Diceros bicornis minor: one gene and its partners. The protein of the gene in region 1 purifies or fractionates together with the protein of each later gene. This does not show direct contact. Links are inferred from orthologs where the notes say so. Each region holds a gene or a part of one and is shown in the gene's direction. Other genes may lie near its edges. The genes, in order: COPS6, DCAF8, KLHL42 and CUL4B.

Region 1 (6,956 bases):
GCTACAAGCCATCAGTATGGACAGGGTGCTGGGCACAGGGGTGGCTGAGGTGCCAAGGACTGCAGGAATGCAGCAACATGCATCGGTGCAGAAAGAAAGGGTTCCTTGGGCTAGGGCATTTACAGGATGCCAGGAAGTACCACCTGACCCCACGAGGGAGGAGGCAGTACTAAATCGTGAGCGCTGACCCTAAAGTACAAGGACACAGAAGGAAAAAGGCTGACAGTTAAGTCTCCCCTCTGCTGCCTCCAGCATGCCCTGCAGGCCAGCTTCCCTCTCTGCCCTGCGCCCGCAGCCAGGGGGATTAGAGCGGTGTCCTGATGGTTGTTGTTGTAGCCCCTGACAAAGATGAGTTAGATTTCTTGGTCCTTGTTCCTGTAGGGGAAGAGGCGCCTGAATTCAACTGATGGGGTTGGACAAGGTTTGCAGTAGAGAAATGAAGCTAAAGTGATCTTGTGTGGAGCCCGATGTCTTTGCTGCTTCTACACCTGAATATGTCGCAGGAACTGATGGATTATATGCTTGCACTTTTCTAGTCCTTTAAGGGTTAGAGGGGATTTTCCCATTCAGGGACTGCTGTATGTAGAGGGTGACAGTGGGACTCACAGATCACTCCCCAACCCGCCTCTCTTTCCCCTCCCGGATGGTCCAGCATAAACAATAAAGAATACGAGGTTAAATCACAGCTTTTCTTAAAAACTTGATTGCTGCTGCCAGTGTTCGCAGAGGCCATTTCTCAGTGCAATAGCGCCGCCTGTCGGATGCAGACACCCGGTACACCTGCTACTGAAGAACTCCAGGCCTAGGAGGCTTTGTAGCTCTCCAGCCTAGTACCCCCATTTTGGGGTGAATCAAGTCAAACCCGATGATTAACAAGATGGGAAGAGCCTAAAACACCTCGCTAGTCAAGTGGAAATGGTATGCTAAAGAGGGCAGTCAGCGTGACCCTAGAGGAGTTTTTCATGAAAAAATGGCAGTTACCGCTTTGGGAGAAATCACCTAAAGCAAAGACATGGATCAATAGGTCCCTCAGATCTCAGAGGTTCCCCTAAATGCCTGGGCTTTGTTCACTGATGGCTTAGCTGAGTTGAAAACTGCTGGGGCCCATTGGGTGGCTGCTGCTGTCCAGCCTCAGGGCCAACTATACAAAACTGAAAGTGGACATCATCACTCTGCTCAGTGGGCAAAACTCAAGGCCATTCTCAGCCCAAGTCTGGCCAGCACTCCCCTTGATGAACCTGGTTACATTTCACTGACTTGGGTTGTTAGCCAATGGCCTGGCTGCTTGGTTCGCCACTTGGAAGATGACAGATATGGAAAATTAAAGACACATCCTTTGGGGCAGTGAACTATGCAAACACACCTTATCTCTATCTGACAATTGGGTCATTCATGTGGATGCTCATGGTGGGCACCTGGTCTCTGATAAGACTGACTGGCACCAAGCTGCTGATCAAACTTGCACCTTCCAGAAGCTCCCTTCCGCTCCTGGTAAACTGACTCCAGCGAACCTTTGACACCCTTTCCCTAGAGAGGCTCCCCTGGTGCTGGTGTTTTTGTTCCAGTCTGATCTGCTGACTCAGGCCACATCATTATGCCCTGGAAACTAAACTGGTCATGTTTTAGGGTTTGCAGACCCTCTACAGTCTGACATTGGTGCGCCTTTTGTCACAAAAGCCACCCCAAAATGGGCCAATAGTCAGGGTGTTGGATGGACAATCCACACCCCCTACCATCCACAGCATCTGGTTGCCGAGCACTGGAATGGCCTCCTCAAAATCAGCTCTACCTCCTTCACCTCCTCCTGGTCCACACACCTTAGTAAGGCAGCCTGGTCACTGAATGTGGCTGTCTCCTCCTGGTCAGCTACCTCTTGGGTAATGATCGGGATGAAAGGAGTGGGGAGCTGTCCAGACTTATTTTGAAAATTAAAGATTCTGCCCTGACCATTCCTTGGGATGATTCTTTTTTTTTTCTCCTAATGGCTACCACAGGCCAGCCTGGTTGGTAGACCCTCTGGGTACAGCCCGGCCAAAAGAGAGCCTAGGGAATTCCAACTTAAATCTGGTCCAGCCACAAGGATTCTCTTTTTGGACTGACATCGTTCTAGATCGTGAAGACAATGACCACTTGATTGAAGACACTGCTCTCCAGCCCCCCTATAGTGGCCCGCACATGCTGTGGCAGGCTGAACAATGGCTCCCAAAAGATATCCAGGTCCTAATCCTGTGATATGTCACTTTATAGGGTAAAAGGGATTTTGCAGATATGATTAAGTTACAAATCTTCAGATGGGGAGATTATCCTGGATTATTCCAGTGGGCACTAAATGTTATCCCAACTGTCCTTATAAGCAGGAAATAGAGATTTTACTACAGAAGGCAATGTGACAATGGGAACAGAGGGACTTGAGACTTTTTCAGTAGTTTTTAAATACAAGGCACTTTTAAGAAATGCTCAATGAGTTTACTTCCAAGGCATGTATAATCAACGGATTCAACTTCAAAGTCACCTTTAAATTTCACAATAACCATTGCTTTATGAGTTGTATAGTTGTCTCAACAATGTTTCAAAAGCATTTGAAACAACAGAAAGACAAAGGAGTTCTTTAGTGTGTGAAACAGCAACGCAAACTATCAACTTTATTAACACCACAATAATTCTTATCTTTATTTTAGCCTTCAATCTAGCTGACAAGCATTAAATTCCTTAGAAGCTGCCTACCATCTAACAGAGATACGTTTTTCTGACTTCATTTTTCCTAAGAGAAGTGAGGCATATATGCTTTTCTTCCATAACCATCTCAGTTGGCTGGGAGGTTTTACACTGGGAATTAGAATGAGATAAACTGTTTCTTAACTTCCCCTTGACCGGAAGACCTCTCTCCCAGCAGGATTTCTCAGGCCCCTTCCTTTGAGGGTTGCTGGCCCTCGAACTTCCCTTCATCAAGGCTCCTAAATGGAGAGATTGCTTAATTCACATAAGTCACCGTTATCACCAGAAAACATCTCCTGGTACCTGCTAGTTCTGGGCACCAGAATAGGCTCTACAGGATCAGGACACAGGTCTCTACCTGCTTTCTAGAGCTTACACTTTGGGTGGGGTATAGACAGATACTAAATGAGCCAGCCAGCCATTTAGGGGCAGCAGGAGAGGGTAAAGGCAGTGCACACAACTTGCTCGGGTGTAGGAGAGGGGAGACGGCTGGAGTGGGCTAGGTTTACCAGAGGGGAGTTTTGAAAGACTGATGGAGATAGAGAATAGAGACGGAGGTTGAGAGGGGTTAGAAAATGCCGGGGACGTTCCCAGTACTGAAGGTAACGCCAATGCTTAGAAGGAGGAAAGATAGGACATGCAGACGGAGCCACTCAAGACCAGGCTCCACCCCAAACTACTCATTCATTCATTCACTCAAAAATTATTCAGGTGCCCGAGTGTGAGGTACCGTATTGGTCACAGGGGATACAGCGATGAACACGACAGAAGGCCCTTGAGTGGGGCCTGTGAAAGGAACAGACGTGAAGGCCAGCGTGGCTGCACACGGGGACCAAGGGCAGGAAAGCAGAGGCCAGGGCCAGCTGCAGGCAGGGCTAGATCATGCAGGGTCTTGCAGGCCGTGGTTAGGAGCTTGGATTTTATTCTGGGGAATAACATGACATTGCATTCACTCTGCAACAGCCTTAGAAACTAGGCAGTCTTATCCCAATTTTACCGACGAGAACGGTAAGATTGGGGCAAGGTGGGGTTAGTAATTTGTTTAAGGTCAGCCGCAGGCGAGAAGCGGTACCAGGGTCTACGAAAATCTGTTGGCTCTGGGGCTTCGCGGGCCTCGAGCTTACCCCGCCCCGAGTCGCCAGACCAGCCAGCCGAGACCGGGCTGAAGGGGCCGCCGGGGCACTGAGCATGCGCCGCTGCCGTACGGAAGCCGGGAGGGGGGCGGGGCCGAGCGCCGGGCGCGGGGAAAATGGCGTCGGCTGCTGTGACGAACGGGACCGGAGGGAGCAGCGGGATGGAGGTGGATGCAGCAGGTAACGGGCGCGGGGGCGGCTTCTGGAGATGCCCTCTGGGGTGCGTCAAGGCCTTCCTTGCGTCAAGACCTGACTCCTCCGAGAAGTCAGGAGGGCGGGACGGCAACATCGCTCCCTGGGATAACTTGCGGGAGGGATGTATGGCTCCGGCTCTGCTGTCCCCTACTGTCATCTCTGGGGAAGAACGTGGGGCCCGGACTCTCACCCTCCCTCCTTTTCTTCCACCCTTAGTAGTCCCCAGCGTGATGGCCTCCGGAGTGACTGGGAGTGTCTCAGTCGCTCTTCATCCCCTCGTCATTCTCAACATCTCAGACCATTGGATTCGCATGCGCTCCCAGGAGGGGCGGCCTATGCAGGGTGAGTGTTGGGCATAATTCTCCAACTTCCTTTCCTTGGTCATCTCCCTCAAATAGTGGTCTCTTCCTCTTCCTTTCCTGAAGCTAGTTCCCCCTCTCCCAAATCACCGTTTCCCCAGTACTTGGTTCAAACCGACCTCAGACCCTCAGGCGATAATGGTTAGGAAAAAGTTTCAGGATTCCTTACTCTCACCTCTGTGTGTCGTTCTCTCCCCCAGTGATTGGGGCTCTGATCGGGAAGCAGGAGGGCCGAAATATCGAGGTGATGAACTCCTTTGAGCTGCTGTCCCACACCGTGGAGGAGAAGATTATCATTGACAAGGAATATTATTACACCAAGGAGGAGCAGTGTGAGAGGGGCATAGAAGTGGGGGAGAGGAGTGGGAGTCAAGAAAAAGCAGAGTGGGGCAGATGGAGAGGGTTGGGAAGAAGTAAACAGAAGAGGATGAGAACGGAGGAAAAGTCAAGAGAGAGTAGCTGAAAAGATCTCAGAAAAAGAAAACATTCTAAATTGAGCCAGGATTTGGGGGAGAGGGGAGAAACTGATGAAAATATACCAGGAGCTTTAAATAAAGGAAGTATCGTTTAAAGCAATACTATGTTCTCCTGCCCCTTCCTCTCCAGTTAAACAGGTGTTCAAGGAGCTGGAGTTTCTGGGTTGGTATACCACAGGGGGGCCGCCTGACCCCTCCGACATCCACGTCCATAAGCAGGTATACATGCTGCCACACATGCATGCTAGGGGGGACAGAGAATAGAGGATGAGGGGAAGAAAGATGGGCATTGACACTTGTGTCCATCTTCCCTGTCTTCCAGGTGTGCGAGATAATCGAGAGCCCCCTCTTTCTTAAGTTGAACCCTATGACCAAGCACACAGATGTGAGTAATACTGACCCCACGCCCACTTGTCCTGCTCTTCTATCACTGTGCCTGTTATTTTACTGTATGCCATCTCTATTGAGTCGAGTCTCCATTCTGCCACTTAACCAGCTGTGTGACTTTGGGTTAGTCATTTAACCTCTACACTGCATTTTCCTCGTGTGTAAAATGGAGATAATCCCTACTTCACTGGTCCTTGGGAAGATTTACATGAGAAAATATAATGTGAAAGGGCCAGGCCCAATTTTTGTTTCATAATATAGGCTCAGGTGCATTTGATGTTAGTAAGAGCTGTTCTCCGTCTCTCCTTTACAGCTTCCCGTCAGCGTTTTTGAGTCTGTCATCGATATAATCAATGGAGAGGTAATGCCCTGCCCTTGGACTCGCAGAAGGAAATTGCCCCTGGCGTTTCAGGCTTTTGACTCTCCCTGCGTGCCCTGTAGGCCACAATGCTGTTTGCTGAGCTGACCTACACTCTGGCGACAGAGGAAGCTGAACGCATTGGTGTAGATCACGTGGCCCGAATGACAGCAACAGGCAGTGGAGAGAACTCCACTGGTAATGGAGGCTGGAGGGGCTTCCTTGGAAGTGGGGGTGGAAGGTGTGGCCACATGCCTTCTCAACCTTGGCCTGTTCTCGTCCCCATGCAGTGGCTGAACACCTGATAGCACAGCACAGCGCCATCAAGATGCTGCACAGCCGCGTCAAGCTCATCTTGGAGTATGTCAAGGCCTCTGAAGCAGGTAGGACAGGTGTCTCCCTGGCACTTTTACTTTTCCTCTCCCTCCTGGGGAAATGACAGCATCCACATTAATGCAGCCTCTTTTTGTGCTTTTAGGGGAAGTCCCCTTTAACCATGAGATCCTGCGAGAGGCCTACGCTCTGTGTCACTGCCTCCCAGTGCTCAGCACAGACAAGTTCAAGACAGACTTTTATGATGTGAGTGTAAAACCTAGGATGGGGAAGTGGGGTTTATGCGTAGCAGGACATGGGACTCAGCTATTCCCCAGGGCAACTGGTTCTGTCTTTTCCCTCTCAGCAATGCAATGACGTGGGGCTCATGGCCTACCTTGGCACCATCACCAAAACATGCAACACCATGAACCAGTTTGTGAACAAGTTCAACGTCCTCTACGATCGACAAGGCATCGGCAGGCGGATGCGGGGGCTCTTCTTCTGATGAGAGGGTACTTGAACGAATGATGCAAAGGGGTCAGACAGCTGTCCCAGATGGGAGGCGTGCTCAATTCCCTTCACAGAAACCTGTCATTAATAAAAGGGGAGCAGCCCCTCAGCACCCCTTCCAGTGGCTCTGTCCTCTATTAGGCACCACACAGGTTTCTCAAATTGGATCTTAGAGGCCCTTGGTTCCAGCCTTGCTCCGAGGCCCCAGTCCCTTCTTTATCGTCAGCTCTTCTCCACACCCTTCAGCTTGGGAGCTTATTGCCATTTGAAGTGACCCCATGTCCAGTCAGGTAGACTATCTATTGAGCCAAAGCCTGCCTTCCACCTAAGAGAGCTCTGTTCTGCTCTTTAATGTCTCCTTGTGACATCAACTCACAAAGACCAACTCTGGAAATAAGACAAGTGACTCCTTTCCCAAGCTAAATTGTTTTTCACACACAAAAAGGGGAGTGGGAGGGAGAGGGATATTAAGCACATTTCTATCAGGGACATCTCACAGCCTTGATCT
Region 2 (7,375 bases), on another chromosome or scaffold:
CTATCAGAATCCCAGCTGACTTTTTTGTGGAAATTGACTAGCTAATTCTAAAATTCATGTGGAATCACAATGGACTCAGAATAAGAAAACAGTTCTGAAAAAGAAGAATAAAGAAGGAGAACTCACACTTCCCAATTTCAAAACTTACTACAAGGCAATGGTAATCAAAACAATGTGGTATTGGCACAAGAATATACATAGATACCAGTGGAATAGAATTAAGAAATAAACCCACACGTCTGGTGAACTGATTTTTGATAAGAGTGCCAAAACCATCCAGTGGGGAAAGAATAGTCTTTTCAACAAATGGTGCTGGGACAGCTGGATAGCCACATGCAAAAGAATGAGTTCAATCCTTACCTCACACCATATACAAAAATTAACTCAAAATAAATCAAAGACCTAAAAGTAATAACTAAAACCATAAAGCTCTTAGAAGAAAACATAAATGTAAAAGCTTCATAACTTTGGATTTGGCTAAAGATTCTTAGATATGACACCAAAAGCATGAGCAAAAAAAGAAAAAATAGATAAACTGGAGCTCATCAAAATTTAAAAGTTTTGTGCTTCAAAGGACACCATCAAAAAAGTGGGGGAAAACCCCAGAATGGGAGAAAATATTTGCAAATCATATATCTGATAATGAACTTGTATCTATAGTATATACTCTCTCAATAATAAAAAGACAAATAACCCAATTTAAAAATGGGCAAAGGATCTAAATGGAGACATTTCTCCAAAGAAGACAAAAATGCCCAATAAATACATGAAAAGGTGCTTGACATTGTGAGTTATCAGAGAAGTGCAAATCAAAACCATAGTGAGATACCACTTCACACCCACTAGGATGTCTAGAATCTAAAAATCAGACATCAAGTATTGGCAAGGATGGGGAGAAGTTGGAACCCTCATACACGCCTGGTGTGAATGTAAAAGGGTTCAACTGCTTTGGAAAACAGTCTGTCAATTCCTCAAATGATTAAACATAGAGTTAACTATATGACCCAGCAATTCCACTCCTAGGAATATACCCAAGAGAAATAAAATGAAACATACGTCTATACAACGTTGTACATGAATGTTTCTGGCAGCATTATTCATAACAACCAAAAGGTAGAAGCAACCCAGATGTCCATCGACAGATGAAGGGACAAACAAAATGTGGTATATCCATACAATGGAATAATATTTGGCTATAAAAAGGGATTAAGTACTGATAACATGCTACAACATGGATGAACCTTGAAAACATTATGCTAAGTGAAAGAAGCCAGTCACAAAAGACTACATACTATATGATTCCATTCATGTGAAAGTCCAGAATAGGGAAATCTATAGAGACAAAGTATATTAATGGTTTCTTAGGGCTGGAGTGGGATGGGAAGATAGAAGGGTGAAAGCTAAAGGGTACTGGGTTTCTTTGTGAGGTGATGAAAATGGTTGAAAATTGACTGGTGATGGTTGCACATATCTGTTAATGTACTAAAAGCCATTCAATTGTACACCTTAAATGAGTGAATTGTGTGGTATGTGAGTTTCATCTCAATACAGCTGTTTTTAAAAAAGTGCCGTTAGCTATCAGGTGTGTGAGTCTGAATCTTGAAGGAGAAGCCTGGGTTGGAAATAAAGACTTGGAAGTCATCATTATGTGGATAGTAGTTTAAACTGTAAGAATGGATAAAATCACTTTGGAAGAACATGTAGAATGAATAGAAAGAGAAGCTCATGAAATAAATGGTCAGAGAGATATAAATAGAACTATGGAATATAGTGTCACAGAAATCAGTGGGATTGAATATCTAGAAGGGGTAATGATCATCACAACTTCAAAGGCAATAGGAAAGCCCAAATAAAAAAGAAGATTTGGTGGTAATAGCAATTGACTTGGTGATAGTAGCAATGAGTCCAACAAAGCAGTGAGCCCAGAAACCAGGTGACGAGGAGGAGGCTTTTATCTCATAGCTCCACTAAAATCACTCTTGTCAAGGTCTTAAATAACTTCCATGTTTCCAAACCCATTTATACCTTAATGACTTCCCAATTTATACCACCCATTGTCCTTTCTTCTATGAGCTTCAGATTCATATTTCAATTGTTTACTCAGTAGCTCCATTTGGAAATCTAACAGGCATCTCCAGTTTAACATGTCTAAAATAGAACTGGACATTTTTCAAAAAAAACTCCTCCTACTTCACCCCCCTCCCCCTCCTGGAGTTCTATCTCAGTAAATTGCGTTACTATTTATCCTCTTACTCAAATCAAAAGACCTGGGATATCTTGACTCTTTATCTTTCACCCCATATTCAGTCTATTAGCAAATCAACTCTGCCACTTTCAAAGTACATCCTGAATCCAACCACTTCCTACCATTTCCACTGCAACACTAGTCTTGCAGGGCTTCTGCAATAGCTTCCTAACTGGTCTTTCAGCTTCTATTTTGCCTTCCTGCAGGCAGTTCTCAAAGAATCACCCAGAGTGAATCTCTTCATTTATAAATCAGATCATGTCATTCTTTTACTCAAAACTGTCCGTGGCTTCTTAACAGTCTTAGGATAAAATCCAAAGTCCTCTCCTTGGTCTATTAAGTCCATAAATGATCTGGCTCCCATCATGTTTTTCCTAATTTCCTACCTGCTCTTTTGCCATGCTGGCTTCCTTGCTGTTCTTTGAATGCATGAAGCACACTCAAGCTTCAGGTCTTTTTACCTTGCTGTTTCCTCTGCCTAGAAGGTTCTTTCCCCAGTGTGTATGACTCACTCTGTCACTTCAAATTCAAATGTCACCTCAGCAGAGGGGCCTTCCCTGAACCTGCTATGTAAAAGAGCACACCTACTCAGGTAACCCACTTTTACCCTGCTTTATTTTCCTTTACAGTACTCTTCAAAACTTAATATTATTGTCTGTGTGTCCCTTTCCTCCCCCTACTCCCAACTCCTGCAGTAATAAATAAGTTCTATGAATGCAGGAATCTTGGTTTGTTTTATTCTCTGCTGCAGCTCTAGTACCTAGAACAGGGTCTTACATGTAGTAGGAACTCAGTAGTTGTTGATGGAGTGAATGAACAGAATAGTAGGGCATTAGATAGCTACTTTGTGCCCTCTTCTAGGTATTGGGGTTACAGATGAAAAAGACATAGTCCCTGCCCTTACAGAGCTTATATTCTAGTAGTATAGTTAGATTACAAATATATAATTATAGGTTAAATGTTATAGGTAAAAAATGTTATGAAAAATACAATGCCGAGTGAGAGGACAGAGGATGGTGGTGTAGAGTACCATTTTAGTTGGAATAGTCAAAGCTGCCTCTGTGAGAAAGTCGCATTTGAGTAGAGATGTGATTAAGTGGAGAGAGTAAGTCTACTAAAGATCCAGTAAATGAACATTCCAAGAAGAGGGAACAAGTGCAGAAACCCTGGGCCTGGACCATGCTTTGGCTGAAGTGACAGCGAGAAGGCCAATAAGGCTAGAGCAGAGCTAGGCAGCAGGAGGAGATGAAATCAGAGAAGTAGGTGCCAGATGGTGTAGGGTCTTCCTTGGAGGCCATTGTGATCATTTGATTTTTGTTGTATGATGAGAAGCTTTTGGAGATTTTGAGCAGGGTAATAATATGACCTGCCTTATAGTTTAAAAGGTCACTCTGACTGCTTTATGTTTAACTAGCAAGGCAGTAATGGAAGTAGACAAACCAGCTAGGTGTCTATTGCAGTAGTCTAAGTAATATATAATGACTTATAATAGGATGGTAGCGGTAGAGGAGATGAGAAAGTGTCAGACTCTTGCACCCTGGCCTTCTGGTCAAAAATCCCCCAGCTTGGCAGCTGGGAGTAACCTTTCCAGTGATCTTCTCTACACTGCCTTTAGATGTCGGAACGAAGCAGAGTGTACATCACCCCCTTTGGAGAAAGAGCCTCTTGAATAGTTTAGCTGCACCTCAAGCTTCTGAATTCCTTCTTTAAAAATGGGTAACTGGAGACTCTTGAGGGGAAGCGGGTCTCGAAGTTATAGAAACCATTTAAGAAAATAAGGTCCTCAAAGGAAATGGGGTTTTCAGAAGAAATCTGGCAAGGACTGCTTGTTTCCAGTATTCAAAAACGGGGCAAAAATGGAGGTCGCCCAAGAGGTTGCCTGCCAACTCGTTAGAAATGAAGTTTATTTCCACCACAACCTTCAAAGGCCCCTAATTCTCATATGTTTTGAGAAACACGAGGGCAGCGAGCCCCTCAAACGCTACAGAAACAACTTTGCCTCTTCGGTAATGCGCACGCGCCCTCTCTCTGTTTGCCGTTGGCCTTAAGCCCCGCCCCATATGCGTCCTTCGAGGAGGGTTGAGAGCCGAGAGCTCGCGCGACCACTCTTCCCTCAGTCTTCTCCAGCACATCGTCGCAAACGGGGCCGGAAAGTGTGGCAGCGCAGGCGCAAGCGCAGACAGCGGAGGCGGTGGTGGTGGCGGCCGCTGGCCAGTGTAAGATGGCGGCTTCGTTGGTGGCGGCAGCGGACGGGGCGGCTGGGCCTGGAACAGTCGGAGCAGCCGCTGGCAGAAGGATGACCCAAGACGGGAAGCAGGCTGCTGAGCCTCGCCGGCTCCCGTGCTTGTAATTGCCCCAGCCGGACACCCCCCCCCCTTGACCTACCCGGTCCGTGTCTCGTTCCGGCTTGGCCTGCCCCCCTCTCCCGTGGCCCGTACCCCCTCAAGATAGATTTGACTCCTTTCCCAAGCTCCCACGGCTCAAGTCTTCTTCCCCTGACCCGAGTCACCGCCGGGAGGACTGGTTGCCCTTTCCTCAGGTCAGGTCTGGGGTTGCCCTCAAGGGCCTGCCCCCCAATCCACAGGGACGTCTTGCCTCGTCGGGTGACCCATTTGTGTGTGCTTTTTTCCCCCTTAGATTAGGGGAACGCAGCTCGCCTTGCGTCTCCTCGTCACCTCAGGGCCGCCGCGCAATGTGTCCCCTCCCCCATCCCGAGTTCTCGGGCCCAGCACCTTGTACGGAAGGCCGAGGTCCAAGATCCCTGGAGTCAGTTGTTGCCGTCTGGTCTTGTACCCTTTGTAATATAATTCTCTTAGTTTACCTCCCCTCACCCCCAAATCTTTCAGGACACCGTAGTACGGTCTCATTTGGTCCCTGTTCGTTGGAAAGCATCTGGTGGCTTGAATTTCTGACTCATATGATTGTTGCTGGAGTCTCTGTAAACAAACCGGCAGTAGCGCTATCACATTCTCTCCGGGATTTCCCCCCTGCTCTGTGGCTTCTGCAGAGGTTTGGTTTTGGGTTAGCGTTGAAAAGATTCAGGTTTTCCTTTTAAATGACTTTTACGTTTTAGTGGAACTGGGGGATGACTTGCCTGATTCATTTTATTTCAGTAACTATGTTTGTAGGTTATTGAGTAATCAGAATTAGATAAATTACTCTGCTTTAAATAGTTCTGAGGTCTAAAAAATACTAAAATGTATTCATAAATATTTTTTATGTTTAGTAGAAGAGACACCTTTGCCATTTAAACTTTAACTGTCTCAGTCCTTCAGTGAATCTACAGACCTATTTTCTCAGGAGCTCAGCCTGGCCCTACTTCAGTGATAAAGGAGGAAAGGTGAGTAGGAGTTGAAGGCATTTAAATTCTTGAGTCCAAGACAGACCTTATCCTGATGCTCAAGTGCTGACCACTGAAGTCATAAAATCCCTACACAATTTCCCAAAGAGTTGGGGCATTGTTCTTGGCTGTGTTCCAACTCTGGTTAAATTACTTTTACAAGTTTAATTGGCTGTGGGCATCTTGACTTTCTGTCTTAAACTGTTGCTGTCTATCTTCAGATAACTCCAGTTAAGCCTAGAAATGAATGTCTCCCTCTTTATTCATTTGCTTTGTGTTTTGCCTTTGTGTGGATCATGTTTCTTACATTGTTCGAAGCTGCAATGTAGCTTCGTAGTACAGGAAGGGAAAGTACTTCCAATGTAGTTTTGGAATTAGTTTGCCTGAGTTCTCTTCAGCCTTTTGTCAAATCAAGTCTCTTTCCCTTTCAGGGTTTTGGGTTCTTATTCCTTATTATTTAGAGGAGAATATTTAGCTCCTTGTCACTAAAAGCTGGAGAGTGATGAGTGATGCTGCCTTTAGTTAGTGTCTGAGTTCAGTCCTCCTTAGAATTCCAACTTTTCAGGACATAGTGGTAAATTTTGAGTGGAAAAAAAAATAGTGGCTGCCCTTTTATAGCTGGTCTGAAGAATTCTTGGTCAGCAGAGAAATCATCCTGTGCATTCAGCAGCATGGGCCAGTGCCAAAGAGGGAGTCAGAACATACTTGTAAGTGTAATTTTTGTAAGACTCTTGGGTTTCTGGTAGCTGAGAATAGTGCTATGGTTGAGGTTCATGGGATGTGACAGAGGAGCTGAGTGGCTCTAGAAGGTAGGCCTGGCTGATTCTTAATATCTTTATGATTTGTAGTAGGAAAAGGATGAGTGTGATGCTGTTGAGTTTTATTCCACACAGTGTCCCAACTAGAAAATGCTCATTATGAACTAGAATAAGATGATTATGGGTGGTATCTATGTGTATCAGCAAGATATAAAGAGAAAAGTACAGTCTTTAGAGCTGGGCAGACCTGGGTTTAAATACTACTAAGATTTATTAGCCTTGTGACCTTGGGCAAGTTACTTAAACTTCTCTCTTAATTTCCACATCTAAAAGTGAGATAATACCACTTAGCTCCCAGGGTTGTTATTAGTATTGTGTGAGGGAACCCGTATAAAGCTCTTACATTATGTCTAGCACACGATAGACACTAAAAGCTATTTTCTGTTTTCTTTACACATCATTGACACGGCTTGGAATGTTATACATTAGTTTACACTTCTTTGCATTTTGCTTTCAAACATGTTTTCCTGATTCTTTTTTCAAATTGATTTTTAATTGGTCAGCTTAGATGTATGCCTTGTGGGTGCCTACCTAGGGTTGGCTTCTGAACATGATTCAGGTCAGTCTGGCGGGGGTTCAAGACCAGAGGACAGCAGAATATTAGATGTCGGTGTATGTCTATCTCTAAATGTATTCTTAAACTAAACGTCAATAAGTTTCCTTCGTTCATTGCTTCCTTCCTCTTGGTCTCTCTATTAGCACATCTGATCAGAATTGACACAAGTATTGTAATTCTTTCCCTTCCTGCTTCAATGTTATTTACCACCTCTGCTCCAGCTACCTCTTATGCCTTTTTCTTTTTGCCATGGAAGGAATACATTTTTCCAAGCTGTTGGGCTGCACAGTGATCCTCATCAATAGATTATCAAAGAACTAGACCATGAAAAGGTCTCCTTTCTTTATGAAGTGAAGTCTGGGCTAGGGAGTTAGGAATGCAGAGTTTTTGATTTCATCTCCTCAGCTGGAGCATCT
Region 3 (7,034 bases), on another chromosome or scaffold:
GAGAAGTTTCCAAATGGCAAAGCAAGGGACAGATGAGGAACAAAAGTTACTCTCTGTTTTTCTATGAGATACTATAGCTGTTTCAATTAGTTCATGCTCTGGGGGCATAAACTAGAAAATTTACTTTCTAACCTTCTAACCTCCACGTCTTTCAGTCACATTAAATGCCGTTTCTTTTGTGTGAAATATAATTCCTTGAAGTTCTCATGTTCCCTGCAGGGATAATAGAACAATCTACAATTGTTTAATCCTTCTGCTGTCAAATGATGTTCAAGTGAAGAGCAAAGTTGCATTTTAAAGAATCTACAAGTTCCAATGTAAAAGCATGCTTTAAAATTCTTAAACAAATGTTTTGGTGATTGCATAAACATTGAGTCTGGAAATGAGTAACTTCTTGGAGCCAAGTATTTTGAAAAGGAGAGACAGAAACTGGACTGCAGGGCCAGAGGGCGGAATCCATCATGGGCTGAGATTCACGGCCCAGAAGCATCTCATCTCAAAACTTGTTGATGTGAGATGAAATTGCAGAAATCAGAAAGTAGCTGCAACTCTGAATAAAAAATTGCTCTATAGCCTTTGTACAAATTTTATCAAATACCCAGAACCATGGCACTATTGCAATGCAGTGACATATTGTACTTATTTCCAATTGGGCCCTCTTGAGAGGGGTTCAAAAATTAGATTTCTACCTTAAAAACCACTCATGTCCCCAAGAGCCTGATTCGGTAGCTCTGTTTTTGTGAGAACCAGAATTCTTATTTTTATAAGTAAGTGCCTGAGGTGATTTCCTAAGATGTTTGGAAAACACTGATATAGGTGACTGAGATAAATGGAAGCTTCGCTTACATAAATATGTTCAACTTGAATTAAATAGAGCCATTTCGAGAACTGTACTACTTTTAACTCATTTAAATGGCCCCATATGCTTTAATGAAAGGAAGATATTTTGGTTTTGCTTGTTAAAAAACAAAAAGAAGTAAAGTTGTTTTAGGAATATTAGAAGGACTAAAAAACAAAGATAAATAATTTTTAAGTGGTAGTGAAGTAATAGCATAGATTTACTAAATTAAAAAAAATCTGCAAAACAGTCAATATTTCATCCTTATTCTAAAGATGCTAATTGTATTATATACTTAACATTTTCATTTCATCAATTGATAAAATTGTTGGAAATTCTTTTTAAAAATGGGGCCTGAGAAATATAAATATGTCATTAATTTTTCTTAAAATGTTTTGCTTTTATTAAATTGATAGACACTCACTTTAAAAATCCAAACCATACAGAAAAGTACAAAAAGAAATAAAAACTATTCAAGATCTTACGATCTTCACATTTTGGTAAACACCCTTCTAGAAATCTCTAAAAAATACATACCTGTATACAATTTTACATAAATGGATTCACACTGTTCCAGAAACTGTTTTTTAAAAATCCAGTGTAAAATTATATTTTTCGATGTCTCTAAAGAAAGTTGTCTCTACCTCAAAAGCTGTAATGGCTCTAGGGTACTTCATTCTACATATGTACCCAAATTTATTCTGCACCTCAGCTTCCTCAGCTGTAAAATAGTATAATAGTAGTGTTGTCATCCACGGAAAGCACTTACAGCAGTGCCTGACAAATAATAAACATTTATAAATATGTTAGCTACTGTTATTATACATTATGTTTTCTAATTTTTTATTATTAAAGGCAACACTGTGATAAACATCTTGTGCTTAGCTTTTTTCCATTCTAGGTCAAAAAGTATATTTTCCATAAATTCTTAAGTAGCCTAACTTTGTGTTTAACTATTAATTTAATCTTTTGTAAAACAGATCATGATGTAAAGTACTTGAAGTGAATTATAGTTACCACAAAGGCCAGTCTTTATCATTCAATGATCAGTCAATAACAGATCTATAAAAGCATGCCTCCAGCTATATATAAGTAATATTTTCATGACGCTTAGAAATACTATTTTAGGTCTTTTGTAAATAAAGAAGTTTATATTGCTTTGACTTTGCATTTCTAGCTTAACAGAAAGCTTACTGTGTGAGCTATTAAAATGATTTGATCTTTTAAGATGCTTCCAATCCTAAATGACGTTATTATCATGTGGGGGCCTAAAGCTTACAAGATTAGTGCCCAGTATTGTCAGACTAACAGCCCAGATGCCCTGTCCATGCTGATCTTGCTCTGATAATATTACTGTGCGTGAACTGCCTTTCTAATGCACATCAGTCTTTAGGCGTGATTTTTTTGGTCTGTTTTTAAAAGGCAAGAAAATACTAGTCTGAGGCATATCTGTGACGGTTAGGAAACAAAAGCATCCATTAGTGAAAGATTCTAAAGGGATGGAGGAGAGACTAAGTGCCTGTTCTTCTTGGCTGACCCACTGAATCTAGCATTGTTGCTGATGGAGACACAAATAAATCCCAGGTCCAAGTCCCTTTGATACAGGGGGCACCTCCTAGCACGAGTTCCCCCAGCTAAATGCCTAATACTGATTGTGGGGCACTTTACCTTCCCAAAGAGGTCGTTAAGTTCATGGTCACTCAACCCCCAAGAACCTTAGAATGTCTTGACTGCACTCTCATTCAAAGCAGAAGTGTGAGAGGTTCATGTGAGAATGGAATTTTTTCAGTAATGATTTAAAGGCCAGGTGAAACAAGGTGAAAAGCCAGAAGTTTTTCACAGAATCCAAGAAAATAACTGAAAGAGGCAAGTCATAAATCCGCCAGTATTTCCTTCACTTTTCCCTTCACTTTATTTAACAACTTGCCATTCAAAAAGAAAGCTGAAGGTTGTAATAATAAAAACAAAGTCCAAACACATATTCTCCCCAGGTTGAGGTCTGTTATGGTTGGTTCTTGAATCTCGATCCCAGAAAGTTTTCAAGGGTTTTATGTAAGATAGGAGTGAACACACCCTATGCTCCCTCCCAATCCTATCCCTCCTTCTGCTCAAAGGTAACCTAACAATACCCTTCGTCCCTCATTTCTAGGATTAATTCATATCTCATGAGCAACACATGGTCCTTTGTATTATTTGGGATGAGCTTTCTGTTGGCAATGTTCACGAGAGAAGATGGGGAAGTGGTCCTTCCTTAAGCAGTCCTCAGACGGCGGGGGTAGGGGCAGGGGAAGGTGATGAGGGTGGCAAGAAAAGCCACCTCTGTAGGCAAATATGAGCAAAAGCGGCCAGACCTTCTGCCCCAAAATAACATTCCGTAATGGCTAGCCCAACCAAACTGAAACAGGGAAAGCAATGGCTGTTAGAAAATATTTGAAAAGAAGGCACGTGGTCTAATTTTATTTAGTCAAGTTGTCCTTCTGACTTTCTTTTAATAGCACAAAGAGGATAACAGGCCCCAACAGCAAATACCAGCTCCTGTGCTTCCCAACTCTTCTCATCGGGTGCACCCCATGCGCTGAGCCCTGCAGAACCTACTGCCATCTGGCTGGACCTTCTTTCTGCAAGATGGCTCCTACACAATGACCATGCCGAAGAATCACCTCTGGGTGCCACCTGCATGTCCAGAGACGGCCAGTGTGCCTCAGCCCCCTGGGACACGAAGCCCGACTGGGCCAGATGGGCGATCCCAGATGTGATGTGTTTTTGACTCCCCGGACCCCAGACTCCCTTCATCCTCCCACAGCTGCCCCCGCCCCCAGCAAAAGGCAGCGTGGAAGAAAAAGCAGACTGGCTTCCTCTCGCCTCCTGTCCCCCGCGATCATCGCTGCAGACCCCGCCAGGCTGCAGAGCCGCTGCGCCGGAGGCCGGCAGCCTCCCAGCCTCCCCGAGCGCGGGAGCCGGCGCGCGGGTCCGGCGGGCGGCAGGGGTCCCGCGGGCGGAAGCGGGAAGCGCGGCGGGGGAGGAGGCTGCAGGCCGGGGGCTGGGATCCCCTCCCCGGCTGACGCGGCCCGCGAGAACCCGAGCGGGGACGGCGGCCGCCTCCCGACGCCCGGCGCGCGGGCGGGCCTTTTTTGGCGCTGAGGGAGAGCAGCCGGGCAGGGCCGCCGCCCCCGGGCCCGGGAGGAGGGGCTGCCTCGGGGGCGCCGCCGCGGCCCCGAGCCGCGGCCTCCGCCTGCCTCCTCCTCCCGCCGCCCTCCCTCGGCGCGCCCAACCCGGAACCCGGCGAGCGCGTGGGGGCGGGGAGGCGAGCGCGCAGAGCTGGCGGGCAGCCCCGCGGCCCGCGGCCCCCCAGCCATGTCGGCCGAGGAGATGGTGCAGATCCGCCTGGAGGACCGCTGCTACCCGGTGAGCAAGAGGAAGCTCATCGAGCAGAGCGACTACTTCCGCGCGCTCTACCGCTCCGGCATGCGCGAGGCCCTGAGCCAGGAGGCCGGCGGCCCCGAGGTGCAGCAGCTGCGCGGCCTCAGCGCCCCGGGCCTGCGCCTGGTGCTGGACTTCATCAACGCCGGCGGGGCCCGCGAAGGCTGGCTCCTGGGCCCGCGCGGGGACAAGGGCGGCGGGGTGGAGGAGGAGGAGGAGATGGACGAGGTGAGCCTGCTGTCCGAGCTGGTGGAAGCGGCCTCCTTCCTGCAGGTCACGTCCCTGCTGCAGCTGCTGCTGTCCCAGGTGCGGCTCACCAACTGCCTGGAGATGTACCGCCTGGCGCAGGTGTACGGGCTGCCCGACCTGCAGGAGGCCTGCCTGCGCTTCATGGTCGTCCACTTCCACGAGGTGCTCTGCAAGCCCCACTTCCACCTCCTGGGGGCTTCTCCCCAAGCTCCGGGGGATGTCAGCCTGAAGCAGAGGCTGAGAGAGGCCCGGATGACTGGGACTCCTGTCCTTGTGGCCCTAGGGGATTTCTTGGGGGGACCCTTGGCCCCTCACCCCTACCAGGGGGAGCCCCCGTCCATGCTCAGGTATGAGGAGATGACTGAACGTTGGTTCCCGCTGGCCAACAACCTTCCCCCCGACCTGGTGAATGTCAGGGGTTACGGGTCCGCCATCCTGGACAACTACCTCTTCATAGTGGGCGGGTACAGGATCACTAGCCAGGAGATCGCCGCCGCGCATTCCTACAACCCCAGCACCAACGAGTGGCTCCAGGTGGCCTCCATGAACCAGAAGAGGTAAGCCCCCAGCAGAGCGCTGGTTCTTTCTCATTCATTCACTTGTTCATTAACTCGTTCGCCTAATGTTTACTGAGCAATCGCAGGAGGTTGTGCTGAGGAGGGAATGACGTCTTCAGGAGTGTGGCTGGCCTCCACTCTGGCAAAGTTCCCAGTGAACTAAGAACTTGCAAGGAAGAAGAGGCCCCAGTGAGGTCAACTAGCTGAGTAGGCGCCTTGCAGGTATCTCGCCATCAGGCAAACTACTTTCTTTGCCTCTATCCCAGTGGAAAAAAAGATGTTGTGGTTTCCTAAAAGGATACTTAAAACTGTTCTTTAATTTTGCTTTTATTTTCACCTTTTTTATTTTTTAGGATCTGATCCTGATAATAATGACACACTGGGCAGTAACCTGTAACACTGACTTTGGGGGATTTTTTTGTTGTTAATGGCTTTGAAGCCTTCCACACCGGGTCACCCATCTGTCATCGGGACATAGTCGTTAGAATTGTATGAATACTAGCTATATAGGATTGCCTTTCTTATGTTTTATCCTCTATTTTGCATCTCTCTTCTTTCTGAGCCAGTCATTGTCATTGACCCAAAGCTTGAGCCTGGCGGTGATCACTTACAGAATTAGAAAATTTCCATCCACCCTAACCTTCTCCCTTCCCGTCCTGCAAATTCCTCCTAACATGAACTTGCATGACTTCAAGAAAGGGAGAGAAAAGAAGGAGATTGGGGGTGGGGTGGGGTAGGGAAAGGAGCCAGGAAAGGGAGAACGAGAGCACAGAGCAGATGCAGGAGGAGGTGGTAGGAAGTTAAGACGGTAGGGCCCAAGACGGCCCAGAGCCATTCACAAGTGGAGAGAAGAATCACTGTCACCCAAGAAACGACAAGAATACCCCTTCTTCTGGTCCACCTGTATCCGTCTCCAGGCCCGCCATGCTCCCTGGCCTGGAGTGTGGAGCAAGGAGTGGGGACACTCACCACCAGGCAAAGACAGTCTTCACAGGAACAGGAAGGCCATTATGCATACTATTTACTTGACTTGAGGGTCCCCCCAGGCCAGGGGGGAACACTGGCTTTATTTCTACTAGAATATGAAATCATTTTGGAAAGTGTTCTTTTTTTGTTTGTGTGTGAGGAAGACCAGCCCTGAGCTACCACTCGATGCCAATCCTCCTCTTTTTGCTGAGGAAGATTGGCCCTGGGCTAACATCCGTGTCCATCTTCCTTCACTTTATATGGGACGCCGCCACAGCATGGCCTGACAAGTGGTGCGTCGGTGCAGCACCCAGGATCCACACCCCGGATCCGAACCAACAAACCCTTGGGCCTCGGAAGCAGAGCGTGAGCACTTAACTGCTGCATCACCAGGCCGGCCGCTAGTGTTCTTTTTTTTTTTGATGATTAAAAATAGTACATAGTTATTCTAGAAAACTGAAAAAAATGGAAAAGAAGCAGAAAGACTATCAGTCTTATTCCCTCCTTCCTAGAGGCATTAACCACCTACAGGTTGGCATATTTTCTTCCAGGCCCTTTTTAGTGCATTATTTACACTGTTGAGATGATGCCATATTTCAATTTTGATATCAGAAGTGTTATTTTTAAATAAACTCTAGGAGCTTTAATTGAAGCAATAAAGGAACGTTCAGCAGTTATGGGTGGTGCTCAGATTGGGTGTGAAGGCCCAGCAGGTTGTCTGTCACCTCTACACACGTCTCCAGCCGTATCAATTGGTGCTCAACACGCCACCCCTACCTCCAGGACTGGAACACGACACCTCACAGATTTCTTTTCTTTCTTCACAAATCCTTGGTAGTCTTTTTTTTCATTCTAGGAAAGCCTTTTCTGTCCTCTTTGGATAAAACAAGTATTTGAGTAATGTATGAATACAAGCTTAGAAAAATTGCAAATGATGTGAAAAACTATAGAGTAAAAATTATGTCCATCTGTAGACATACTTGTATATTATAAATTTATAAATA
Region 4 (7,872 bases), on another chromosome or scaffold:
TCCAAATCTACATTCCCAATGTCTGCTCTCTGTTTTGCTTATAAAAAATATTTAAAATTCCTTTTAACATGATTTTGGCAGTAGGGATAAGCTGTCAAACTTGACTAGATCTTAAATACGTAGTCATCGCAAAGCAGGATTGGCCCCAGGCAATATTGTGAGGTCAACAAAATGTACTTTCTCCCCTTCCATTGCAATACCTACTCCTAGTTCTGTTTACCTCCAGGCACTTAGGACTTTTGTATTATCCTTTGTTCCCAGGAAGCATTCACCTTAAAGGGTCAGGAACTAAGTCTCTCTGGCTAATTTTCATGTGAAAAAAAGGATTCCTAGAGAAGGAGGCTATTTTATCGAAGGGAATGAATAAATTGTGAAATTTCAGGCATTAAAGGGAGTACAAAGGCTTATCAGCCCCATTCAAATCACAGAGGTACTTACTTCACTACAGCTGTGGTCTCAACCCTGGAGGTATGTAGAATCACCCTGTGAGATTCTTAAAAATCCTGATAATTGAGGCCTTACTCCAGAGATCTAATTCAGCTGGATGAGGTTCAGACCTGGGCAAAGAGGTTTTTTAAAAAAACTCCCCAGGCAATTCTGTCATACAGTCTGTTGTACAGTCAGAGTTGGGAACTGCTGATTTAAACCTAAGTTGGCCCTACTCTTGAGAAAAAGAAAAGCTGAATGCCATTGGAAGATCAAACCTTAAAGCAGGGTGGGGGTGGAGGGACTGTGGGGGTCATTGATAGAGTGAACAGAAGGTTAAAAATAGGCCCAGCAACTCCATAATAAGCAGGTGCTTGGCAGTACCAAAGGAAGAAGTAACCTGTGGCTGATCCGGTCCCCCATTCCCAAACCCCTAGGGAAAATGGCCTGGCCCTAACAGTTAAGGCCTTAAATCTGCTTTCCAGATGGTTCACTGGTATGACAGTAGATAAAAATCTCTGAGCTAAGGTGCTAAGTCCTCAAATGGCTGATGTACCTGAGTCAGTAAGTCTCCAGTTGATGAGATAATTTTACATAGAAGATAAACGATTTTGTTAAAAATATGAGATCTGTGTTATTTATTTACATTTTACTGAGCACCATAGGTTCAGCATTTGTTATTAAGTTCCTTTTGCTTTATAAAGCAACTCCAGGATGGGCAAAGGGTGAATTCACATAGTGTAGTGGGGTCATGTTTGCTTAAGTTTGGCCTCCCCAGTCCCCCATAGCTGCCCCCTGCTGTTGCTCGCATCACAAAGCCCTTATTATGATATAATGGTTAATATCTCACCACCGCTTGGTTTGCCCTCTCAGTGTTGCCCTGCTTCAAAGATGGTCCTTCAGAAGAGTGGATAGAGAACCATGGACCACCATTTGCTCAGCAGTTGTCTTTTCTGGACACATTCTTAAATAGTGCTTGCTGCAGAATCATCTTTGGTATTCTCCTGAGCAAGCAGTATCTCCTATTTTTAAGGAAATTCCCACACATGAATAACAAGGCTTCCAAGAGTGTCTGTCCATCAACAAGCTCCTGCTCTGAGATGTCTGGAGAAGACCCAAACACAAGCCCGCCGGGGAGTCCCCGTGATCAAAGCGAAACAGGTTATACTTTTTAGACAGAGACCTACAGAAATAGGGGAATGGACATTAGAAAAACTAGTCCTCTGTCTTTGTATTTCTTCTTTTATGTGTATATATTTACCTTTATAAATAGCTACAGATTGATTTATTTACTTGATTAAAACAAGGCCAATAATAACTATACCTCATCTGGTAGCACTGTAAAATTTAATTAATGTTTCTAAGGTATGAGTTGAACTCACAAGATGAAAGATTCTATATATGTAATATATGTTAAGTGTCCAATCTGGTTTAGTCTGATAATGGCCATAATTTATGTGCATGCCTTGATTATTGTGGTTTCAGTGAGTCTAACCTTGAAAAATGTATTTTAATGTTGAGAATGTGTTTAATGTTGGTTGGCAAATGTTTGGGTGTATAGAACATATGCTTATGTTTTAGCTAGCCCCAATTAGTTGATTCTTGATGTAAAAGATGTTTTACAAAGCAACATGGGAGGTTTTTCGTCTTTTTAAATTGGTCTGAGTGTCCAAGAAGACACTAAGTTGGTCTGTGCCACAAAATGTAAATGTTAAATGTTTAAAATTATTTATTAAAATTAATTATTAAATTATATATCCATATTAAGATGTGCTAAATATGTGACGATTCACCTGGCACAAAATAAAATGAGGTTTTAAAATGTCAAAAGGAAGATTATTAATCACTAAGAAAAAAAAAAGAAAAAATATTTTTTCCACAAAATTCACTTAAGGATATTTCATGGAAAACTTAAATAGTAGATTAGGCCCCTGGGTCATTTAAAGTGAGCTAGAGCTCAAGAGCCAAGGGTCTGTGCTTTTAGAACTAACATTTACCTGGGAAGACTGAAGGGCTTAGATAATCATGTCAGATTGGGAGCTATTATTACTAGAATGTAGTTGAATATTAACAGGACTCAGCTATCCTTTACGTTAGTATAAAAGTTTATCTTTGTATGGCAAAAGCAGTTTTCTTTTTATCTTTATGCCCATTCCCTTTCAGTTGCACTAATATTTATAATTTTTAAAATAGCTAGCACTCCATACACCTTTCTAAGGAATATAATTACATGAATTAGAACAAGGCCCACTTTTTTTTTTTGTCTTGAAAAGTCCTCAGCGGGTCCATCCATACACCCTTCTAAGGAATATAACTATATGAATTAGAACAACTTTGTTCATTAAATCCTGAAAATTAGCCAGTTAATCCTCCCTTATAAAGGCACAGCATTATTTTATTCTCATTCAATGAAATATTCAATTCAATAAGTATTTACTCTGCATTTACACAGTTGATCAGCATCGTGTGAAATGTGAGACACAATAAAGGAGGGTTTAATGTTTTAGGACACCTTCCCTGGCCTTAAGAGTTTACAGTCTCATTTCAGGCAGCAAGAACAATAGGGTACATTGAAAACAGATAGGAGTCAATCTTCTCCCTTTCAGGCCTCTATCTCCATTCTCTGTAGCCTAGGGTCCTAAGTGCCATTAGAGCCTTTCTCTCTGCCTGTTGTCATCAAACAGCACAAAGCTGATAGTGGCCCAAGGTGGTACCTTTTCTAGGAGGATCTGCATTTTAACTAGTCTAGGAGGACATTTTTAAAGTCTAGGAGGACTTTTCAAGACAAACAACAAAAAAGTGGGTCTGTGTAAACAAAGTTAGAATATTGACTTATTCTTACCGTTCTGATTTGTCTATCTCAAGCTATACAATACAAACTGCTTTTACTCCACCCACAATCTTGTCACGCCCCTGCTTTTAAAAGCCCAGCTTGCTGGCTCATCTCCATGCTGCCTACCCTAGCCTACAGGGTAGACTCCAAAATTTTTGGCTTTGTGTGCCAGGCACTCTTAAGCCTCATCTTCCTTCCTTCCAACCAGACATCCTACTTTCCAGCACTTTCCATATGTCCACAAACAGGCCAGGCACTTTCACAACTCCCTGCCTTGCCCGTGTTTCCACTTCCCAGAATGCCTTTCATGCTCTCCCCTCTTGTCTTTTTGGCAATTCCTACTTTGAGACCCAGCATAAATATAAATTCCTCTGTGAAACTCTGACTATTCCAAAATTCCCCCAAATTTCTTGTTTCACCTGTTCCCATAGCACTTTGTACATTTGTTATAGTACTGTTATGGAAATTAGTTTTGAAACTATCTTCCCCCACTGCCTTCTCAATGGCAGGCATCTAGTATAGTGTCTGGCATACAAAGTCGTTCAATACCTGCTTGTTGAATGTTTCTGCAGTTACAATGATCAACAGGTTGGCAAATTTAGTTTTATTTGACATTGTGTTCTCCCACCCCTCCCAAATGCCTTTGAATTAAATAAAAACTCCCAACAGGGAATTTACAAGGTTTATTGTTGCCAATTTACAGGTTTGTTCTCGTGAGTAATCTATTTTAAAATTTGGGCTCATGGAATACATTGGTAGAAAACATTGACTTTTGCCAATATTGTATTGCCAATATTATACACTTTGTCTCAAAGAAGTGTATAAACTGAGATTTGGTAAAAGAAGTGGCTTTGTTTAGTCTGTAAATTACTAGGTTAATGACTGATGGGGGTCGGGGTTGGGGTTGGTCCTGGGGGTTGTGTCGTGTGGGGTGGGGGTCGTGTTAGTTACCTTCCTGTTTCTTGGCCTTAAAATGCACGTTTAACTCTGGCCAGCTATCTTAGAAAATGCTCCTGGTAGGAAGGGAAAAGGATTTGCAGCTATATTACTGAGAAAGGTATCAAAATTCAGGCCCTATTCAGTATTGGGTCAGTGGTGTCCTTGACATAAAAGAGAAACAACTTATAGATCAACTGAATCAAAAACTCCCTTTCTTTCCATCTAAGCTCTTTTTCTTTTCCTATCTTAACATGACATTCCTCCTTAGTTGGAGGCATAATGGCATCATTATATTTTCTTCCATTTCGGGTTACTCCCCTCGCCTTGCAACTCCTCCTTATTCCTTTATCTCTTTCAAAGTTTCCATTCTCCGTTCCCTTACTTTTTACTCCCTCCCTTCCTCTCTCCCTCCTCCTCTTTTTTCCCAGCTAGCTCACCCCGCCCCTCACCGTCACCACCGCCCCTCCCCTTCAGCCTCCTTCCCGCTCCTTCTCCCGCCACCCCCCCTTCACCCGCCCGCCTCACGTCCAGAAAGCTCCAATCAGGAGCTCCGAGGGTGCCCGGAGGCCCGCCCCCTCCTCCCTTTCCACTTCTCTTCCCCCCCTTTTCTCCCTCCCCCACCCCCCCGCTCAAGTCCTGCGGACCTGGGGGCTTCGGGATCTGGGCGCTATGAAAAGTGTCTGCCCAGTCACTTCCGGTAAGGGCGTTGCGGCGCGAAGCTTCCCGCGGGACCGTTAAGGAGGGGTGGGAGTTACCGGCGGGCCGGGTGAGGAGAGTGCTGCCAGGGACGGGGAGCGGGTGAGGAAGGGGGAGGGAGAGCCAGAGCGAACGAAGGAGCACGAGCGTCTCGGGCGCCTTAGCCGCCCCTTGCCCATCGCCTCCCCGCGAGCCAGCTCCCCCGCCCCCCGGCGCCTGCAGTGCTTCTCTCCACCCCCCACTCCCGGGGACAGACGCCGCCCCTCCCTCGCGGCCGCGTGACCGGAAGTGGCGCCATCTTTAGCCTCTTGTGCTATTGACAATAACAAGCCCCGGTCCTCTCCCCCTTCCCCCTCCCCCCAGCCCCGGCATCTCCCCTCCCAGAGAGAGGGAGAAAAGGAGGAGGAGCTGCCGCCTCACAGACTCACTGAGTCGCTCCTGCAGAAAGGGGGGAGAGAGACCGAAAAGCAGGGGAGGGGGACGGCACGGCCGTTTACCTGTCTGCCTCCTCATTCGTTCTCCCCCCTCGTTCTGCTCACTCCTGGTGTCAGCCTATCCGCCTTCCCAAACCCTCCCATTCCCCCGGTGTAGCCCCCCCTTCACTTTCCTTCTCGTCCTCTGTGTTTCTCCTCTCTTCTTTCTTCCCTTCCCCCTCTAGCACTGCCACCTTCTCTCCTACACGCACGCAGGCATATAAACCTAGGTTTTTGATGCTCCTCTGCCTGTTGACCCCGCTATTTTCATGTTTCCAACAGGTTTTTCTTCCCCCAATCCCTCAGCTGCTGCTGCTGCTCAGGAGGTCAGATCTGCCACTGATGGTAATACCAGCACCACTCCGCCCACCTCTGCTAAGAAGAGAAAGTTAAACAGCAGTAGCAGCAGTAACAGTAGTAACGAGAGAGAAGACTTTGATTCCGCCTCTTCCTCTCCTCCTTTACAACCCAGGGATTCGGCATCCCCTTCAACCTCGTCCTTCTGCCTGGGGGTTTCAGTGGCTGCTTCCAGCCACGTACCGGTACAGAAGAAGCTGCGTTTTGACGACAACCTGGAGTTTGTAGGGTTTGATGCGAAGATGGCTGAGGAATCCTCCTCCTCCTCCTCCTCCTCTTCACCAACTGCTGCAACATCTCAGCAGCAGCAACTTAAAAATAAGAGTATATTAATCTCTTCTGTGGCTTCGGTGCATCACGCAAACGGCCTAGCCAAATCTACCACCGCCTCTAGCTTTGCTAACAGCAAGCCTGGCTCTGCTAAGAAGTTAGTGATCAAGAACTTTAAAGGTAACCAAGGCCAAAATCCATAATCACCTACTAAGGATTTGACACTTGAGTGGTCACGTGCTCTATGTTAATATATTAAACAGCATAGAGGTGGCCTAATGTTTTATGCATAATCAGTGAGGCAGAGGGAGGTCCTTTTTTGGGGGGGTGGTTTGTATCCTTGTGCTGAAGTATGCACTGGGTGTTTGTGTGTAGTATTTTGAGGTCTGTCTCAGCCTATTGTATCTAATCTGTCATTCCTGATAACATTGACCATCGGTATGATTGATCCGGATTTTACAGGTGAGAAATTTGTATTCTAAAGAGGTTTATTTATTTCAGGTGCATAGTGAGCCTTGGCACTGCTGGGATTTTTATTTTTATGCTTCAGTAGGCCACATTCTCCAGTCCCTAGAAATGCAGGTAGAAATGGTGACATTTTCATGCTCAAATAAGATTTATAGTTAGATTTATAATGTTGAATACTGTATTCTTGACACTCATTATGGAAGCAGTATTTGGAGAAAAATGTTTATGATCTCTGCATTTCTTCCCAAAGGTAGGGTTTGGCAGTGAAAAATAATGTGTATACACAGAAGTAGTAACTGTGTACCACTAGTCTAAAGATAGGATCAAGTACTGTATCTATTTTTTTATCACTAAGATGGGTTTTAAAGTACTAACCTGCAGCTTTTAGGAAAATTTGTTCCTTTTGTGTTTCAGATATGTGATTGAGAGTATTATGAAGGCATCGATACAAATATAAAATCAGCAATTTAAAAAAATGTAATTGAGCTGAATTACTTTTTATCCGTTGACTGTGTTTCTGTTTTTCTGACTAACTTTTTCAACACCCTTAACTGGCAGGTATTAGATGCTAAAATGTTTATTAAGTGGAGAAGTAAATGAATGAACTAAAGTAATATTTACCAGATAAGTGCCTTGTGGCTAGATGTTAGTATTGAGAAAATTAGATTTTCCATGCTTGTGTTTTCAACATTAGTGTGGAAATCAGGAATGTGCTCTATTTTGTCTCAAGCAGGGGGTTATAGTGTTATTTTTAACCATTTTTTTTCTATCACTCCTCTCCCATCCCCAGGATCTCAAGAGTGTTGTAATATTTCTGATTTAATAGTAGACTTTTCTGAAGTAAATATGAATTCTGATTGACTAATGTATTCACTGTTTCACTTAAAATATATCGATTTAATAGCCAAGGAGTTTTAAAGAGATGAGCTGTGATCCTAATTGCATTTGCATACTGGTTTCAGAGATTTTGTTTGTTTGGGTTTTTTCTCTCCCTCCTAAAATAAAAACACATTATTAAGGCATTTGGATGTTTTCATTTAAAAAAAGTACTCATTGCTGGTCAATGAATTTTAAACTAAAGCCTGGATTAAGATGTTCCTTTTCATTCTGAAAATGCTACATAGGTTCTGGAGTCATTTGGATGTTTTAATTTTTTAAAATTTTACTCTGCTCAGAAATGCAGTTTAAGTCAAAACCTGAGTTAAGATGTTTCTCTCCATTTCTGTAGATGCTGCATAAATGTGGGGGGTCAAACAGACCTGGATTAGAATCCCAGCTTTGCCATTGACTAGCTATGGTGACCTTGGGCAAGCCTTACTAAATGAATCTTCCAGCCTCAGTTTCCACAGTTGCAAAATAGGCGTAATAATACCTTCCTCAGGGCATTATTAGGAAGGTTCGGATATTTAT

Evidence for each region.
Region 2: the proteins of COPS6 (region 1) and DCAF8 purify together in Homo sapiens (affinity purification with mass spectrometry; 3 studies listed by BioGRID and IntAct, with this or other methods). This does not show direct contact. The link is inferred for Diceros bicornis minor from reciprocal best matches to the Homo sapiens genes COPS6 and DCAF8.
Region 3: the proteins of COPS6 (region 1) and KLHL42 purify together in Homo sapiens (affinity purification with mass spectrometry; 3 studies listed by BioGRID and IntAct, with this or other methods). This does not show direct contact. The link is inferred for Diceros bicornis minor from reciprocal best matches to the Homo sapiens genes COPS6 and KLHL42.
Region 4: the proteins of COPS6 (region 1) and CUL4B purify together in Homo sapiens (affinity purification with mass spectrometry; 8 studies listed by BioGRID and IntAct, counting the BioPlex papers as one, with this or other methods). This does not show direct contact. The link is inferred for Diceros bicornis minor from reciprocal best matches to the Homo sapiens genes COPS6 and CUL4B.

The regions. Positions count from the first base shown.
Region 1 is NC_080765.1:5,681,851-5,688,806, reverse strand, and holds COPS6 (COP9 signalosome complex subunit 6), read left to right. Parts: upstream 1-3,943; 5' UTR 3,944-3,964; coding exon 3,965-4,028; intron 4,029-4,259; coding exon 4,260-4,385; intron 4,386-4,602; coding exon 4,603-4,734; intron 4,735-5,008; coding exon 5,009-5,097; intron 5,098-5,200; coding exon 5,201-5,263; intron 5,264-5,578; coding exon 5,579-5,626; intron 5,627-5,706; coding exon 5,707-5,821; intron 5,822-5,913; coding exon 5,914-6,006; intron 6,007-6,101; coding exon 6,102-6,202; intron 6,203-6,302; coding exon 6,303-6,443; 3' UTR 6,444-6,563; downstream 6,564-6,956. UniProt on the Homo sapiens protein: Component of the COP9 signalosome complex (CSN), a complex involved in various cellular and developmental processes.
Region 2 is NC_080743.1:64,933,427-64,940,801, reverse strand, and holds the start of DCAF8 (DDB1- and CUL4-associated factor 8), read left to right. Parts: upstream 1-4,367; 5' UTR 4,368-4,461; intron 4,462-4,467; exon of another isoform or gene 4,468-4,784; intron 4,785-5,471; exon of another isoform or gene 5,472-5,585; intron 5,586-7,375. UniProt on the Homo sapiens protein: May function as a substrate receptor for CUL4-DDB1 E3 ubiquitin-protein ligase complex.
Region 3 is NC_080756.1:35,317,253-35,324,286, reverse strand, and holds the start of KLHL42 (kelch-like protein 42), read left to right. Parts: upstream 1-4,030; 5' UTR 4,031-4,192; coding exon 4,193-5,064; intron 5,065-7,034. UniProt on the Homo sapiens protein: Substrate-specific adapter of a BCR (BTB-CUL3-RBX1) E3 ubiquitin-protein ligase complex required for mitotic progression and cytokinesis. The BCR(KLHL42) E3 ubiquitin ligase complex mediates the ubiquitination and subsequent degradation of KATNA1.
Region 4 is NC_080781.1:111,043,221-111,051,092, reverse strand, and holds the start of CUL4B (cullin-4B), read left to right. Parts: upstream 1-4,852; 5' UTR 4,853-4,867; coding exon 4,868-4,895; intron 4,896-5,649; coding exon 5,650-6,174; intron 6,175-7,872.